Linked DNA regions of Elephas maximus indicus. The protein of the gene in region 1 purifies or fractionates together with the protein of each later gene. This does not show direct contact. Links are inferred from orthologs where the notes say so. Each region holds a gene or a part of one and is shown in the gene's direction. Other genes may lie near its edges.

What was found.
Region 2: the proteins of NOP56 (region 1) and RPL18 purify together in Homo sapiens (affinity purification with mass spectrometry; 4 studies listed by BioGRID and IntAct, with this or other methods). This does not show direct contact. The link is inferred for Elephas maximus indicus from reciprocal best matches to the Homo sapiens genes NOP56 and RPL18.

What each region holds. Positions count from the first base shown.
Region 1 is NC_064843.1:41,254,239-41,261,939, forward strand, and holds the start of NOP56 (nucleolar protein 56), read left to right. Parts: upstream 1-4,693; 5' UTR 4,694-4,766; coding exon 4,767-4,769; intron 4,770-4,923; coding exon 4,924-5,013; intron 5,014-5,407; coding exon 5,408-5,522; intron 5,523-5,966; exon of another isoform or gene 5,967-6,034; intron 6,035-6,194; coding exon 6,195-6,356; intron 6,357-6,521; coding exon 6,522-6,720; intron 6,721-6,825; exon of another isoform or gene 6,826-6,955; intron 6,956-7,059; coding exon 7,060-7,247; intron 7,248-7,329; coding exon 7,330-7,481; intron 7,482-7,647; coding exon 7,648-7,701. UniProt on the Homo sapiens protein: Involved in the early to middle stages of 60S ribosomal subunit biogenesis. Required for the biogenesis of box C/D snoRNAs such U3, U8 and U14 snoRNAs. Part of the small subunit (SSU) processome, first precursor of the small eukaryotic ribosomal subunit.
Region 2 is NC_064829.1:99,008,010-99,015,113, reverse strand, and holds the start of RPL18 (60S ribosomal protein L18), read left to right. Parts: upstream 1-4,099; 5' UTR 4,100-4,180; coding exon 4,181-4,183; intron 4,184-5,437; coding exon 5,438-5,524; intron 5,525-5,897; coding exon 5,898-6,005; intron 6,006-6,432; coding exon 6,433-6,531; intron 6,532-7,088; coding exon 7,089-7,104. Other genes in the region: SPHK2 (sphingosine kinase 2), read right to left, coding at 1,887-1,925.

The sequences.
Region 1 (7,701 bases):
GTCCACAAGAAACAAAATATAGCCTTGAGTATATCCCATCTGCATCTGGAGACCATTTCAGGAACAGATTTGATGCTTTGAACACTAACGACCAAAGACTAGATGAACTGTGGAATGACATCAAGAACATAATACATGAAGAAAGCATGAGGTCATTAAAAAGACGGGAAAGAAAGAAAAGACCAAAATAGATGTCAGAAGAGACTCTGAAATTTGCTCTTCAACATAAAGTAGCTAAAGCAAATGGAAGAAATGAGGAAGTAAAAGAGCTGAACAGATGATTTCAAAGGGTGGCTCGAGAAGACAAAATAAAGTAATATTATGAAATGTACAAAGACCTGGAGTTAGAAAACCAAAAAGGAAGAACACACTTGGCATTTCTCAAGCTGAAAGAACTGAAGAAAAAAATTCAAGCCTCGAGTTGAAATACTGAAGGATTCTATGGCCAAAATAATGAATGACACAGGAAGCATCATAAGAAGATGGAAGGAATACACAGTCACTGTACCAAAAAGAATTGGTTGACATTCCACCATTTCAGGAGGTAGCATATGATCAAGAATCAATGGTACTGAAGGAAGAAGTCCAAGCTGCACTGAAAACACTGGCATAAAACAAGGCTCCAGGAATTGATGGAATACCAATTTAGATGTTTCAACAAACAGATGGAGCGCTGAAGGTGCCGACTCATCTATGCCAAGAAATTTGGAAGACAGCTACCTGGCCAACGAACTGGAAGAGATCCATATTTGTACCCATTTCAAAGAAAGGTGATCCAACAGAATGTGGAAATTATCAAACGATACCATTAATATCACATGCAAATAAAATTTTGCTGAAGATAATTCAAAAATGCAGCAGTACCTTAATAGGGAACTGCCAGAAATTCCAGTGAGATTCAGAAGAGGATGTGGAACGAGGGTTATCACTGCTGATGTCAGATGGATCTTGGCTGAAAGCAGACAATACCAGAAAGATGCTTACCTGTATTTTATTGACTATGCAAAGGCATTCAACTGTGTGGATCATAACAAATTATGGATGACATTGCGAAGAATGGGAATTCCAGAGCACTTAATTGTGCTCATGCAGAACCCGTGCATAGACCAAGAGGTAGTCATTCCAACAGAACAAGAGGATACTGAGTGGTTTAAAATCAGGAGAGGTGTGCGTCAGGGTTGTGCCCTTTCATCATACCTTTTCAATCTGTATGCTGAGCAAATAATCTGAGAAACCAGGTTATATGAAGAACATGGCATCAGGATTAGAGACTCATTAGCCACCTGCAATATGCAGATGACAACCTTGCCTGCTGAAAGAGAAGAGGACTTGAAGCACTTACTGATGAAGATGAAAGACTACAGCCTACAGTATGGATTACACCTCAACATAAAGAAAACAAAAATCTTCACAACTGGACAAATAAAGTAACATCATGTCAAATGGAGAAAAGTTTGAAGTTGCCAAGGATTTCATTTTACTTGGATCCACAATCAACAGCCATGGAAGCAGTGGTCAAGAAATCAAAAGACGCATTGCATTGGGCAAACTGGCTGCAAAAGACCTCTTTAAAGTATTGAAAAGCAAAGATGTCGCCTTGAGGACTAAAGTGTGCCTGACCCAAGCCATGGTGTTTTCAATCACCTCATATGCATGGAAAGCTGGACAATGAATAAGGAAGACAGAAGAATTGACACTTTTAAATTGTGGTGTTGGTGAAGAATATTGAATATACCATGGACTGCAAAAAGAACAAACAGATCTGTCTTGGAAGAAGTACAACCAGAATGCTTCTTAGAAGGGATGGCAAGGCTACGTATCATGCACTTTGGACATGTTATCAGAAGGTATCAGTCCCTGGAGAAGCACATCATGCTTGTTAGAGGGTCAGTGAAAAAGAGGAAGACTCTCAACAAGATGGATTGACACAGTGGCTGCAACAATGGGCTCAAGCATAGCAACGACTGTGAAGACAATGCAGGACTGGGCAGTGTTTTGCTCTGTTGTGCGTAGGGTTGCTAAGAGCTGGAACCAACTCAACAGCACCTAACAACAACAACAACATGGGGCTGCAGTCAGATAGATGGCAGGAGGGACTGGAACATCCCAAATGGCTTCACTTGCAGGTCTTGTACTTTAACGTATATTAGATGGCTGTAAGGATGGGCTCAGCTTGGACACTGGGAAAGGTAGACCTCTGCCCCTCTCCATGTGGTCTCTCCAGCAGAGTAGCTGAACTTCCAAAGCAACTCAAGGCTCTCAATAATGCAAAAGGCTGAAGCCTAGAGCTGGCAGAGAATCATATTCTGGTTAAAGCTTGGTTTAGAACACTTAGGGTAAGTCACAGAACCAGCCCAGTCAAACGTGCGGAAGAGCAGGGGACTAACAAGGCCATGATACGAGGAGGCACAGACCACTAGCGGCCTTCTTTGGAAACTAGCTACCATAGGTGATTCCATGATACCAAGGCCCTTAACATTTCCATTTCTTCCTGCCACTGTGAGCACTCACAAACACAACATGACTGGATGTTCTGTCTGGAAAGATCATTCTGGCAATGGAGAGGAAGACGGCTAGGAGAAGGGGAAACCAAAGGTTTTGCGAAAGTACACTTTGGTGGTGAAGACCTGAAGCAGGCAAGGAGCGGTGGGCTCAGTGAGCAGTCTGCGGGGAGGGGACAGGTGGTCTGTAACGTCACAGGGTGTGGAGACGCCATCTGGGGCAGGGTTAGGAAGCACGGGGGAGGGCAATGGGAGAGAGGAAGCCAAAGGAATATTTGTGGCATTTAGGCCATAATCACATTTAATTGTTAGCATTCGTAACATACTAGTTGAAGTGCACTTTTCTACAGTCATCAGCAAACTATTTCAGCACAGCTACTTCACAGCAAGAGGATGTGAATCTAACCCAAATATGACTAATTAACTTTGAGCCCAGTGGGTGACTCTCTAGTTTTTTATATCCTGACCTAATACACAGAAATGTGTGCATATATATATATATGTATATGTACCAGAATATACCAGTTGTCATGGCAACCCCAGGTGTTTCAGAGTAGAACTTACTGTGATCTTTCAAAAGCAGATCACCAGGCCTTTCTTCCGAGGCACTCTGGGTATATTTGAAAACTTTGCACCACCCAGGGACTCCTTTGTATGTATGTAAGTGTATACACATACATACATATACACATATATACATTTGTATGACTGCTGAGACAAAAGTTTTCCAAATCACTATCCCTTACTCTATTCTCTTTAATCTTTTTTTTTTTTTTTTTTAATGCTGGCCATGACTGAGTAAATTAATTCTGCAATCCATTAATGGACTCTGACTTCTGGTTTGAAAATCTCAGCCCCAGTAAAGAAACACCTGAAACTCCAGGAAGATTTTGGATGAAGTATAGAAGTAATACACTAAATTAAAGTCACTGCATTAATATTCTCCACTACATTTTGGAATCATCTATTTAATTTGCTATTTTAAGTATCTATTTTATACATTTTTTTTATACGGCTTAAGAGAATTTAACATACCGGATTATGTAATAATCCATTTTTGCAACTCCATTCTAAAATGTGAAATAAACTAATTCAGACTCGTGATAAATTGGTAAACACACAGAATGCAAACATTTCAAAAGCAATATTGAGATTATGAAGTTTTAAAAATCACTGCCCATATTTTTAAGTTTCATGGGTTCTGTTTGTCAAGTAACTTAATCGCTTAAGAAGAAAATAAATGTCTTATATTTATAAATGCAGTCTAATTGTGGGAACTTCAAATTATTAAGTTCCCTTGAAATTATTATTTAAATTCACCAGGAAACTTGCTACTTACGGGACGATTTATAACTCTAAAATTAACTATTAAAGCCAGAGTAATTTCAAAACAGACTTCTGCGTGCCCAAAAGCCTCCCTGGAGTACGGGAAAGCAGCTCGCCTCACTCGGATGTGAAGAATCTAGGACCGTCCACGCGGGCGAGCAACACGTGGCTCTGCAAAAGGAGCTGGGGAGCAGGAAACCGTCCCAGCAACAAGTGGTATGGTCTTTTCTACTTTACTGCCACCCTCATTAAAAGCAACAATAATAAGTTTACAATTGCTTTTTAAACATAAAAAAAAAAAAAAACCCCAAGAGGCACGTTTCTTGCAGGGTCTACGCCGGCTGGCCCCAAACCCGGTTCCAGTCCCGGGAAGGAGGAAAAGGTGCGCGGCCTGCGGGGCTTGGGGGGCGGGCTGGGGGAGGGAGAGTCGCCCCTGAAGGGCAGGCGGGTACGGAGAGCCCTGCGGGACGTGGAAGGAGGGGTATGGGATCCAAGACCACCCGTGGAGCCCAGAGCGGGCTCCGCCACCGTTTCTGTAGGGATGGTCGCCACGCCCCATGCAGTGCAGCCCACACCTATTTCACAGAGCTCTGCTGCCTGTAACTTATATGATCAAAACATGAAGAACCTGGACTGTTATCCAGAAAAAAGCGCTTTTGCGGCCTGCAGCGCCCGGCCTCACCCCGCTCAGCCCCGGCAACCGCACCAGCCCGCTGCAGCAAGGCCGGAAAAGGCCGGCTACCCCTTGGCGCCACTCTCCCCACACGCCGCCCTCGCCCTCTAGGCGATACCATCCCAGATGCACCCCTCCGGAGGACCCGAAATGGTGCCGTCCTCGGCCTCTGATTGGCTGACTCGGCGAGGGCGTGGCCTCCGGGGCCAGGTTCCGCGCGCTGGAGCCCGCTCGCCGCATTGCGAGCCGGGCAAGGAGCGAGCGCCATGGTGAGGGCTGGTTGTGGGTTGCGGGCGAGGCGAAGGCCGTGGCCTGGGCCCAGGCTTTGGCGCGGACCTAGGCCCAGCCGGTGTCTGCCTTGGGATCGGGGGCCCGGCGAACGCTGGGCCCGCGCTGATGCTCGAGCCCCGGCTTCCGTTCCAGGTGCTGCTGCACGTGCTGTTTGAGCACGCGGTCGGCTACGCGCTGTTGGCGGTAAAGGAGGTGGAGGAGATCAGCTTGCTGCTGCCGCAGGTGAGTGGAACCGGTGAGTTCGGCAGCCGGAGGGGCTGCAGCGCGGTCGGGCGAGTCCCCAGCGCAGGCCCCAGCATGCACCGCGCGTTCCCACGTGGTCGGCTGTGTGGAGTGGGGGTGGGGAACGGGCCTGGAGAGCTGTAGAGCCAGGGTCCTCGCCTTGGTTCATGACAAGAATAACTTTAGGAGCTTTTTTAGATAAGCCATTTCTTTTCCATTACGGACTAAAGCAGAACCTTGAGAGATGGAGCCCAGGCATCCCTGTGTTTTAAAAGCTTTCTAGGTGGTTCTTGGATGTGTCCAAGCCTGAGAACCTCGGCTTCACTGCGGTTTAGAGTCAAAATAGTCAAAGAGTGTCGGAAGGAAACCGCTCATCCTGTTTCTCCCACCCCAGGTGGAGGAGTGCGTGCTCAATCTGGGCAAGTTCCACAACATCGTTCGTCTCGTGGCCTTTTGTCCCTTCGCCTCCTCCCACGTTGCCTTGGAAAATGCCAACGCCGTGTCCGAAGGTGAATTGGCCACCCCGAAGTTTTAGGGGAGATAGGATATGTGATTCCTGCTGCAGTTCTCTTGGGGGATTTGTGATAAAAAAAAACGAAATGCTGTCATATTTAAAGCTATCTCTAGAATCGAGATTTTGTTTTCTTACGAGCATTGGGGTGGTAAATAATTCTTAAATGAAATCTTGGGTGGGTGGGGGACCCCGGTTTAAAGCCCATTTGTGCCCGAAGCTTGCCTAAACCCAGTCACCTGAAGGGTTCCCTGCTGCATCATTCATGTAGTTGAATACATGTAAGCCAAGAAGACTGTTCTGAAACAGTTGTGGTCCCAGGAGACAAATAAGATACTTGCTGCTTTTATCATGCTGGAGCTTGTGTTTTAAGCTTTATTTGTATATTCCAAACTGGTGCTGTTGGACCTGAGCCCTGTTCCTCCCCTAGTTGAGCCAGGCTTTGCAGTGATGACTTGTGTCTGTCAATCCCCTGAGTGCAGTCACTGATGTCTCCATGTCTCTGAGCAATGCCTGAAGGGGGAGGGTGCCTAGGCATGGCATCCCAGCATGCTCTGCAGAACCAGTTTAAGATCCGCTATCACTTAATCAGCTCTGTAACAAGACAGGATCCCTTCTATACTTTAAATGTCCTAAAGCATGTTAGTAAGCGGTGTTTTTTTACCTGGAGGTGTTGTTCATGAGGATCTTCGCCTGTTCTTGGAGACATACCTGCCATCCAAAAAAAAGAAAGTAGTCTTGGGAGTTGGGGACCCCAAGATTGGTGCTGCTATACAGGAGGAGTTAGGGTACAACTGCCAGACTGGAGGTGTGATAGCTGAGATCCTGCGAGGTGAGAACATCTGTGGCACTTATGCCATTCTTGACAAACTTGGCCGGCGGGGGAGGGGGGTGGCGTCCTGAAGGTGCTTAAGATTACTTCTGGAGGCCTTGCTTGCCTGATGGGTGCGGAGCTAGCTCAGGCCCTTTCCATGCTCATAGCCCTACCCTTCTCCAGGAATTCGCCTGCACTTCCATAATCTGGTGAAGGGTCTGACTGACCTGTCTGCTTGTAAAGCTCAGCTTGGTCTGGGACACAGCTACTCTCGTGCCAAAGTTAAGTTTAATGTGAACCGGGTGGACAATATGATCATTCAGTCCATTAGCCTTCTGGACCAGCTGGATAAAGACATCAATACCTTCTCTATGCGTGTCAGGTAAAGTACAGGGGCAGTCCCAGAAAGTGGGGTCTTTGGCCTGTAGTTTAGCTAATTTTGAATCCTTAGATCAGGTCTGGGAAGAACCAGGTGGGGAAGGGGTTTGGCCTCCTTGTGCTTACCACAGGCTGTGTTTTTGCACTGACTGTATAGAAAGGGGAGGCAGATAAAGTACCCCATATACACCTCAGCCCAGGCCTTGTGCCTGGTTTGTATTGTGAATGGGGCAACATGGCATTGAGGAGGCTTTAAATCTGACTGGTCCCATTTTTTCCAGACATGTAGTAGATAAGGGGAGATGTGGTAGCTGGTCTAGGGAGTGACTGTGGCTCCTTGCAGGGAGTGGTATGGCTATCACTTTCCGGAGCTGGTGAAGATTGTCAATGACAATGCCACGTACTGCCGCCTTGCCCAATTCATTGGAAACCGCAAAGAGCTGAACGAAGACAAGTTGGAGAAGCTGGAGGAACTGACTATGGACGGGGCCAAGGCCAAGGCCATTCTAGATGCCTCACGGTCTTCCATGGGTCAGTGCAGAGCCTGGCAGCCAGGTGTAACGTGTGGGGCTTTGAATGTCTGGTTCCTGCATTCACATTTGGTGTTCTCTAGGCATGGACATATCTGCCATCGACTTGATAAACATCGAGAGCTTCTCCAGCCGAGTGGTGTCTCTATCAGAATACCGCCAGAGCTTACATACTTACCTGCGCTCCAAGATGAGCCAAGTAGCCCCCAGCTTGTCAGCTCTCATTGGGGAAGCGGTATGTCATGGGGGGCTCGGGAATGTTACCATGTAAGTCTGCGCTGCTGTATTTTCTGACTTGCCATATCTTCCCTAGTTGTGCATGATGGGGAGGAGGTAAGCAGGGATTATGTAATTCTTAGGTCAGCAGTTTCAGCTTCTGACTTCTTTGTGTCTTTCTCCAGGTAGGTGCACGTCTCATTGCACATGCTGGCAGCCTCACCAACCTGGCCAAGTAT
Region 2 (7,104 bases), on another chromosome or scaffold:
CCGGGTCCTCCTCCAGGCGGCTCCTCAGGTCAGCACCAACCGCCCCCATCAGATCTAGGGGTGGGGGGGAGGGTGTGCTCGGCTTAGCCAGTCGCCGAGCGGCCGGTCTGAGTCAGGCCAATGAGAGGGCGTGGGGCGGAGCCAATCGACAAGCGAGCTTGTCGCAGGGGCAGGCCGAGGGAGAAGTCGAGAACAGCCGGGGGCATCGCACCTCGCGAGACCGGCCGCCATCCTAGGTGAGGGCACACGCGCAGCAGAGGGGGCGTCATAGTCCCAAAGCCGGCCCTGAAGCTGCCATCTTTGTCAAGGGCACGTGAGCCTGTCCCATCCATTAAGTTCATAAACGAGATGACACAAGGGGGAGGAAACCTTTAGCTGCAGAGACAGACAGCCTGACAATACAGGAACATGGTAATAAATGCTCAGAGACATGCAAAGGGGTAGTAAAACACAGAGATTCAGCGAGGCAGAAACCCAGAAAAGCAGAAAGAGTCAGAGACAAGGGAGATTTCCGTTACAAAAAGACAGATTCAAAGAAAAGCAGACATACAAAGAAACGAAGCCAGCAAGAGTAACAATGAGCAAGGTAAGGGCACAGAAGACCCAGAAAACGACACACTTCTGCAATGAAAACCAGGGAAGAGAGGCTCATTAATTCACAAATTATTTATCTTGGGCTCAAACCAGAGCAGAGGTAACATGAGATAACCATCTGCCCAGTAAATGACTCAAGTCAGTGGCTTGCTTGTCTAGACAGAGATACAGAAGAGAGATAGAGAGAGAAACTTCCAGGGGATGGGGAAGGGCTTGGGGGATAATTTTGGAGGTCCAGAGGCTGAGAGGGACTGAGACCAAGAGAGACAGAAAGCAAAGATGTTGACAGACACAAAGAGGCAAAGGCATGGTGAGACTGAAAGGATGCACCAAACCCGTTGCTGTCAATTCCGACTCATAGTAACCCTATAGGACAGAGTAGAACTGCCCCATAGGGTTTCCAAGGAGCACCTGGTGGATTTGAACTGCTGACCTGTTCATTAGCAGCCATAGCACTTAACCACTTTGCCACCAGGGTTTCCCAAAAGGAAATAAGGTAAGGCTATATCAGGAGACTTGAATCAGAACTGTGGAGAGACACACAGAAAGAGACAAGGACAGAGCTTTGCTAAAAAGAGACAAATGGAAGAAGTTCTTTTCTTGCCAAACAGTATACTTCGCATCCAGCCCAGGGTAGCAACCACCACCGCCACCACCATTTACCATCAAGTCGATTCCAACTCGTGGTGACCTGATGTGTGTCAGAGTAGATCTGTGTTCCATAGAGTTTTCAAGGGCTGTGATCTTTTGGAAACAGATCACCAGGCCTTTATTCCAAGGCACCTCTGGGTGGATTTGAACCACCAACCTTTCGGTTAGCAGTCGAGCATGTTAACCATTTGTATCACCCAGGGACTCCTCCAGGGTAGCAATATCACCAGATAATAGTGCCAAGGAATGCCCCAAAGAAAGGCGGACGGAAACCCAGTGAGATGGAGAGACACAGCATCAGAGCTTGGGACCCAGTAGAGAGAAAAGCAGACAAAAAAACCTAAGGCTCAAACATGGAGACCAAGTCACAGAGACCAGGGAACAGGGAGGAGAAGGAAAAGGAAGCAGAGAAGAGGGCCTGGAGCTCCCCCAAAAGGAGGCAGATGAGGGGCTCCAGGCCTCTCATACGGAGTTGCTGTATAACCTCAGGAAAGCCCCTGGCTTCTCTGGACCTCAGTTGCCCTGTCTGTGACATGGGGAAAAAGCAAAATCCTACCGCCTGGAGAGAAGGTCTGACATGGAAGGGCCTTGGGTGATGTGTCTCACGGTACTGCAGTCTTGGCTTTTACATGGGCCCTTACCTGGTCCTGCTGTTCCTCTGCTTCAAGGCATCCATTCATCTGCCTGCCCTCTATTCTGTCACCACATCGCCAGGACCCAGGACCTGGGTCTGAGGCCACTGGGGATGGGCAGGGGGGCACAGCAGGGGAAGCAAGGAGTCAGGCACCACGATCCAGGCCTGGCCTTTGGCTCTGTGGAGGAGAGGAACAGTGAATAGGTGCATCGAGGGCAGACAGCAGGAGATATTGCCGGGTGTGCTTGAACCTCCCAGGCAGGGCCTCCCTGAGGAAGGAGGAAAGAGAGGGCAGGTCAGCAGGACTTCAAACCAGTTCTGCATGGTTCAGTCATGGCTGAGGAAGCATCACCAGAAGAGACTCGAATGGGAAAAATTATGAGTCAAAGCCCAGCTAGAAACTTAATCTCCCTCTCAAAGAATAAGGGCAGGTGTGCATTGCATAGCAACCAAATCTGTTGCCCTCAGATTTTGAGCACAGTCCAAAGCAGCGTTGTTCCGCTCAAAAATGGCAGCCGACCGTGCTGCTTTGAGTGTGTGCTATTCTCCACAGTTCTGCCAATAATCCAATTTCACGCGTCATGCACCTGAAAGGGCTCACTATTTCTCTTCGGAGTCTCCTATTCCAGGGCTTCGACCTGTAATTTTTCCTGTTCCAGGTACCAAATTGTAAAACTTTGGATCTGTTCCTGTTTCGCTTCCTCAGCCATGACTGAATCTGTTTGAAGCCCTTCAGGTCAGCCTCATTACTGCCCCAGCCAGTCCATCTGATCACACTCAGTAAGAGTTAATTTTTGTTGTTATGTTGTTGGGTGCCATCAAATTAGGTTCCAACTCAGAGCAACCCCATGCACAACAGAACAAAACACTGCTTAGTCCTGTACCATCCTCACAATCATTACTATGTTTGAGCCCATTGTTGCAGCCACTGTGTCAATCCATCTCATTGAGAGTCTTCCCCTTTTTCACTGACCCTCTACTTTACCAATCGTGTCCTTTTCCAGGGATTGGTACCTCCTGATAAGATGTCCAAAGTAAGTGAGACAAAGTCTCGCCATCCTCACGCCTACGGAGTATTCTGGTTGTGCTTCTTCCAAGACAGATTTGTTCGTTCTTCTGGCAGTCCAGGGTATACTCAATATTCTTTGCCAACGCCACTGAGCACTTATTACATGTACAGCATTGTCCTAAGCACTTTTATTAATTCATGATTCTGGAAACCACTCGCTGTGGTAGGCCTATTCTCATCTCCATTTTGGAGGTAAGGAAAATAAAGCACGGAGAGACTAAGTGACTTGCCCAAGGTTATACAGTAAGCAGCAGAGCCAGGATTTGAATTTGGTTACCGGGCAAGGCACCATCTCACATCTATATCTCTTCTTCTCTGGGTGTCCAACTTCCATTCTCCCACCACTACCAACGTTATGTCCACTCCCCACCCCAAACTGTCTACTCCCCTTTAGGTCTCCGCACTTTATGGATCTTTTTACCGGTCCTCACTCCCACCCCTACCTCAATCGGGGTCTCAGTGCACTTCCTCTGCTTTCCAGTACTGTGCATACCCCTCGCACCAATGCCCTCTGGGCCACTGAACCTCTTTGGTGGAAAAAGGTTGACCTCAGGTGACGAAAGATGGGGGTGGTCAGGGCAGGGCCATCAGGAGACAGGAGGAAAGTGGAACCGAAAAGGTGGAAGTACAGGGTGCTACAGACTAGGCTACAGCAAGAAGGTCTCGGGTTAGACCTCGAGAAGGACTTCCTGACCTGCGGCCAAGCTTGGGGTGCAGTGCGAGATAAGGAGGACGTGAGGTAACTCAGGAAACGCCCGAAGCTTAGGGTCAGAGGTTTTCCGAGGCCTGAACTAGCCTCACCTGCCCCGCTTCCTCACCTCCAATACTCGGATCGCCGAGTCCTCCGGAGCCAGAGAGAGGTCGTCGGCGTCGGGCCAGAGCGTCAACCCGCTACGCGTCCTCGTAGCTCCGCGGAACATCTCTCTCGCGCTCAGATCCTTTGCTTCCGACAGAGTATAGAGAACAGGGACTGTTGAGGGCCAGAGAGGCATCCGACGTGCTAGCCCTTCCTTCCGCGACGTCGCACTTGTTCCCCTTTGGTTGTCGCTCCGTCCTATTCCGTACTCGCCCATTTAGCCGGTCCTCCGACACACCACGAAGAGGCCGGGTTGTGGTAGAGCGCCGCGTGGCGCTCATGTGACGTCACGCGGGCGCCACTCTCTGGAGGCTTTCCCCGCCCACACCCGCCTCGTTCTGTCTTTCCAAACCCGGGCTGAGCAGGAGGCGCCATCATGGTGAGCACATCTGGTGGCGTTCGGGACTTGGCCATCCGCCGCCATCCGCCGCGATCTTGGGCCGGGGGTCTGCCGGAGGGGGCCAGGGGTGCCAGGGGTGTCCGAAGAAGTTGATGCCCGAGGCGGGGAAGGCTATGTTGGCATCCTGGGGGCCGGGAATCGGTCAGGATCACTTCAGTCTCCAGTCCCTTCCGCACTTCTTTATTAACTGCTCCATAAATAGTTGAGCACACTCAGGTACAGAGAGATTAAGTAATATGATTGGGGTTACAAGGCCAAGAAGTGGCGGAGCCGGGATTCGGGCCCGGCTGCTGGCCTTCGGGCACTCTTAACTGTTTATGTTTATTGACACTACCACTACTTGCCACTTTTCAGCCTCGAGAGGTGGGTTTTCTGGGGAGTCGAGGGCCAAGTGCCTAGGCTTTGGAAACGGGCAGACTTCCGTTGGATTCTCGGCTGCCTGGCTGCAATGTGATTAAAAAAAAAAAAAAAAATTGGTTAGGGCCTTGTTTTCCGGGCTTGTGCCTCGGTTTTCACATCTGTCCATAGGGACCACAGTCCTATTCTGTCTCATGGGTTTGTGAGATAAGAAAGAAGTAACTCATAAGAAGGGCGCATCTGCAATAAAGCAAGTGTTGTTAACACCTAAGTAGCTCTTTACAGTTATTAACACCATCTTAAAACCTCAGTTACTCTGAAAACCAGGCAGAGGTTGCAGCGGGAATTGTGGGGTTTCTTTAGCAATTGGGGATAATAGCAGAAACAACCTCAAGGTTGTTAGATTCAAAGAGTTAATGAAAGGTAGTTCTAGATCGATACAGAGGGAATTCTTAAAAAAGAAAAAAAGAAGCGTTGTCAGTTGTTATTTAGCGTGTGTCTTAGGTTAAATGTTTGCGTCACTGCAGGTGTGAGAAACAGTTTTTAGCAATTTAAATAATACTTAGTATCGTTATAAAATACAACTTCTGAAGAGTTGAACTTTTTTTTTTTTTTTTGGTTGCGGCAATACAGCTCTTGTGTTAAGAGTTTTGACAATTTGTTCTGTGCAAAAGGTTTTGCGTGTTGATTGTCCCCCTTTTTTGTCCCTTAAGCCCCAGAGGTTTTTAAGTGACTCACCCAGAGGTCTCCCAGTTGTGGAGCTGGGATTTGAGCTGTTGATTGCAGAGACTTGGGCCCCAGCTTGGTCTTGGTTTCTGGGGTGAGTGATCTGCCAGACCCTGAGTCCAGTCTGTGGTCTTGCCTTCACCCCCCTAGGGAGTCGACATCCGCCACAACAAAGACCGGAAGGTTCGGCGCAAGGAGCCCAAGAGCCAGGACATCTACCTCCGGCTGTTGGTCAAGGTGAGGCTGGGACCTGAGTCTCAGGGGTAGGGCCACCCCAGAGCTGTGACTTGGCAGCGCTTCAGGGGCCCACATGGCAGGCTCGAATCTCTGGTTCTGTCCTTGTGCCCAGAGCTTCTGGAAGGCTCATGTTTCAGCCTGTGAGCTGTATTCAGGTGGGGAGGGGGTTTCTGGGTCCTTGGGCAGGGGGGACCTGAACCAGCTCTGCCCCTTGAGCTCTGTAGGATATGGGAAAAGCTCAGTCAGTGGCTGCACAGGCCGTAGGAACACTTCTAGCCTGAATCATCATTGATTTGTCCCTTCACTGGAAAGTGGGGAGTGGGAGTGGTGGGCTGCCTGAGGTTCTCATGCCTCTCCTTCCTTTCTCCTCCAGCTGTACAGGTTTCTGGCCAGACGAACCAACTCTACCTTCAACCAAGTTGTGCTGAAGAGGCTGTTCATGAGCCGCACCAATCGGCCACCCCTGTCCCTTTCTCGGATGGTGAGAGGTTGTTGCAGGGAGGGCTTGGGGTAGCGGCCTGGGCGTCAGCTGCTTTGTTACACCCAGTGGTGGGCGCAAAGCTCTGGCCTTTGGTTGTGGCGGGATAGCCTTGGGCAAGTGGCTTGGCCTCATTTCCCCTCCTTGTGAAGCTTGTGGCTTCCTCATGAGGTTGTCCTGAGGCTCAAGTGTCTTAGAAAAGCTTTTGATAGGAGAGACCTGGTGAACAGTCTGTGGTTATATGTTCTCATTTGTGGATTTTCCTAAGCTAGACCTGAGAAGTCCCCTGCTATTTAGGGAGGCGTGTGTGAGTGGGCTTAACCTCGTCAGAGGGGATAACTGTTTTGGTCCTTACGCTGCCTGAGGCAGGGGGATTGGATTTAAACACCAGAAGGGACTTCTTATTTTGTGCATTCCCCCTCTCCCCCAGATCAGGAAGATGAAGCTTCCTGGCCGGGAAAACAAGACGGCTGTGGTCGTGGGGACCATAACAGATGATGTGCGGGTTCAGGAGGTGCCCAAGCTGAAGGTGAGTAGGGTGGGGGCTCCAGGGCACAGGCTCAGGGTGGAGGTGTGCAGACCTGACCTGCATCCTTGCTCTGCCATGTGACATGGGCCTGTGAAGTGTCCCTGGTCGCCTCTGGGACAGGCAGGCAGCAGGCCTGTCCAGGCAGTGTTTAGGATTGAACAGTGGTGGCCCTTGGCAAGACCTTTCTGGCCTTCAGTTTCCTCGTACACTGGTGATACATTTGCTCTCAAGCCAGACGACTGGGGTTCAGATCTGGATCTTTGCCATTCTGTCTTCTCTGGACAAAGTTTGTAATCTCTTTATGCCTTAGCTTACTTACGTGTAATAACACGTGAGGACGGTGGTGCCTGCTTTTCAGGACTGCGGTGGTCTTAGGTGAGTCTAGACGTAAAGTGGTAAGAATAGCCACTGTCAACTTAGGAAGCCTCTGGTAACCATTGGTTGTGTTATCAAGCAAGTAATTGGGGCCACTGGCAGCCAGGGCAGTGGATGCTGAGTCCCGGCACCCCCTAGGGTGCTACGCGGTGGGCCCTGACCCCACCTGTCCTTTCCTTCAGGTGTGTGCGCTGCGCG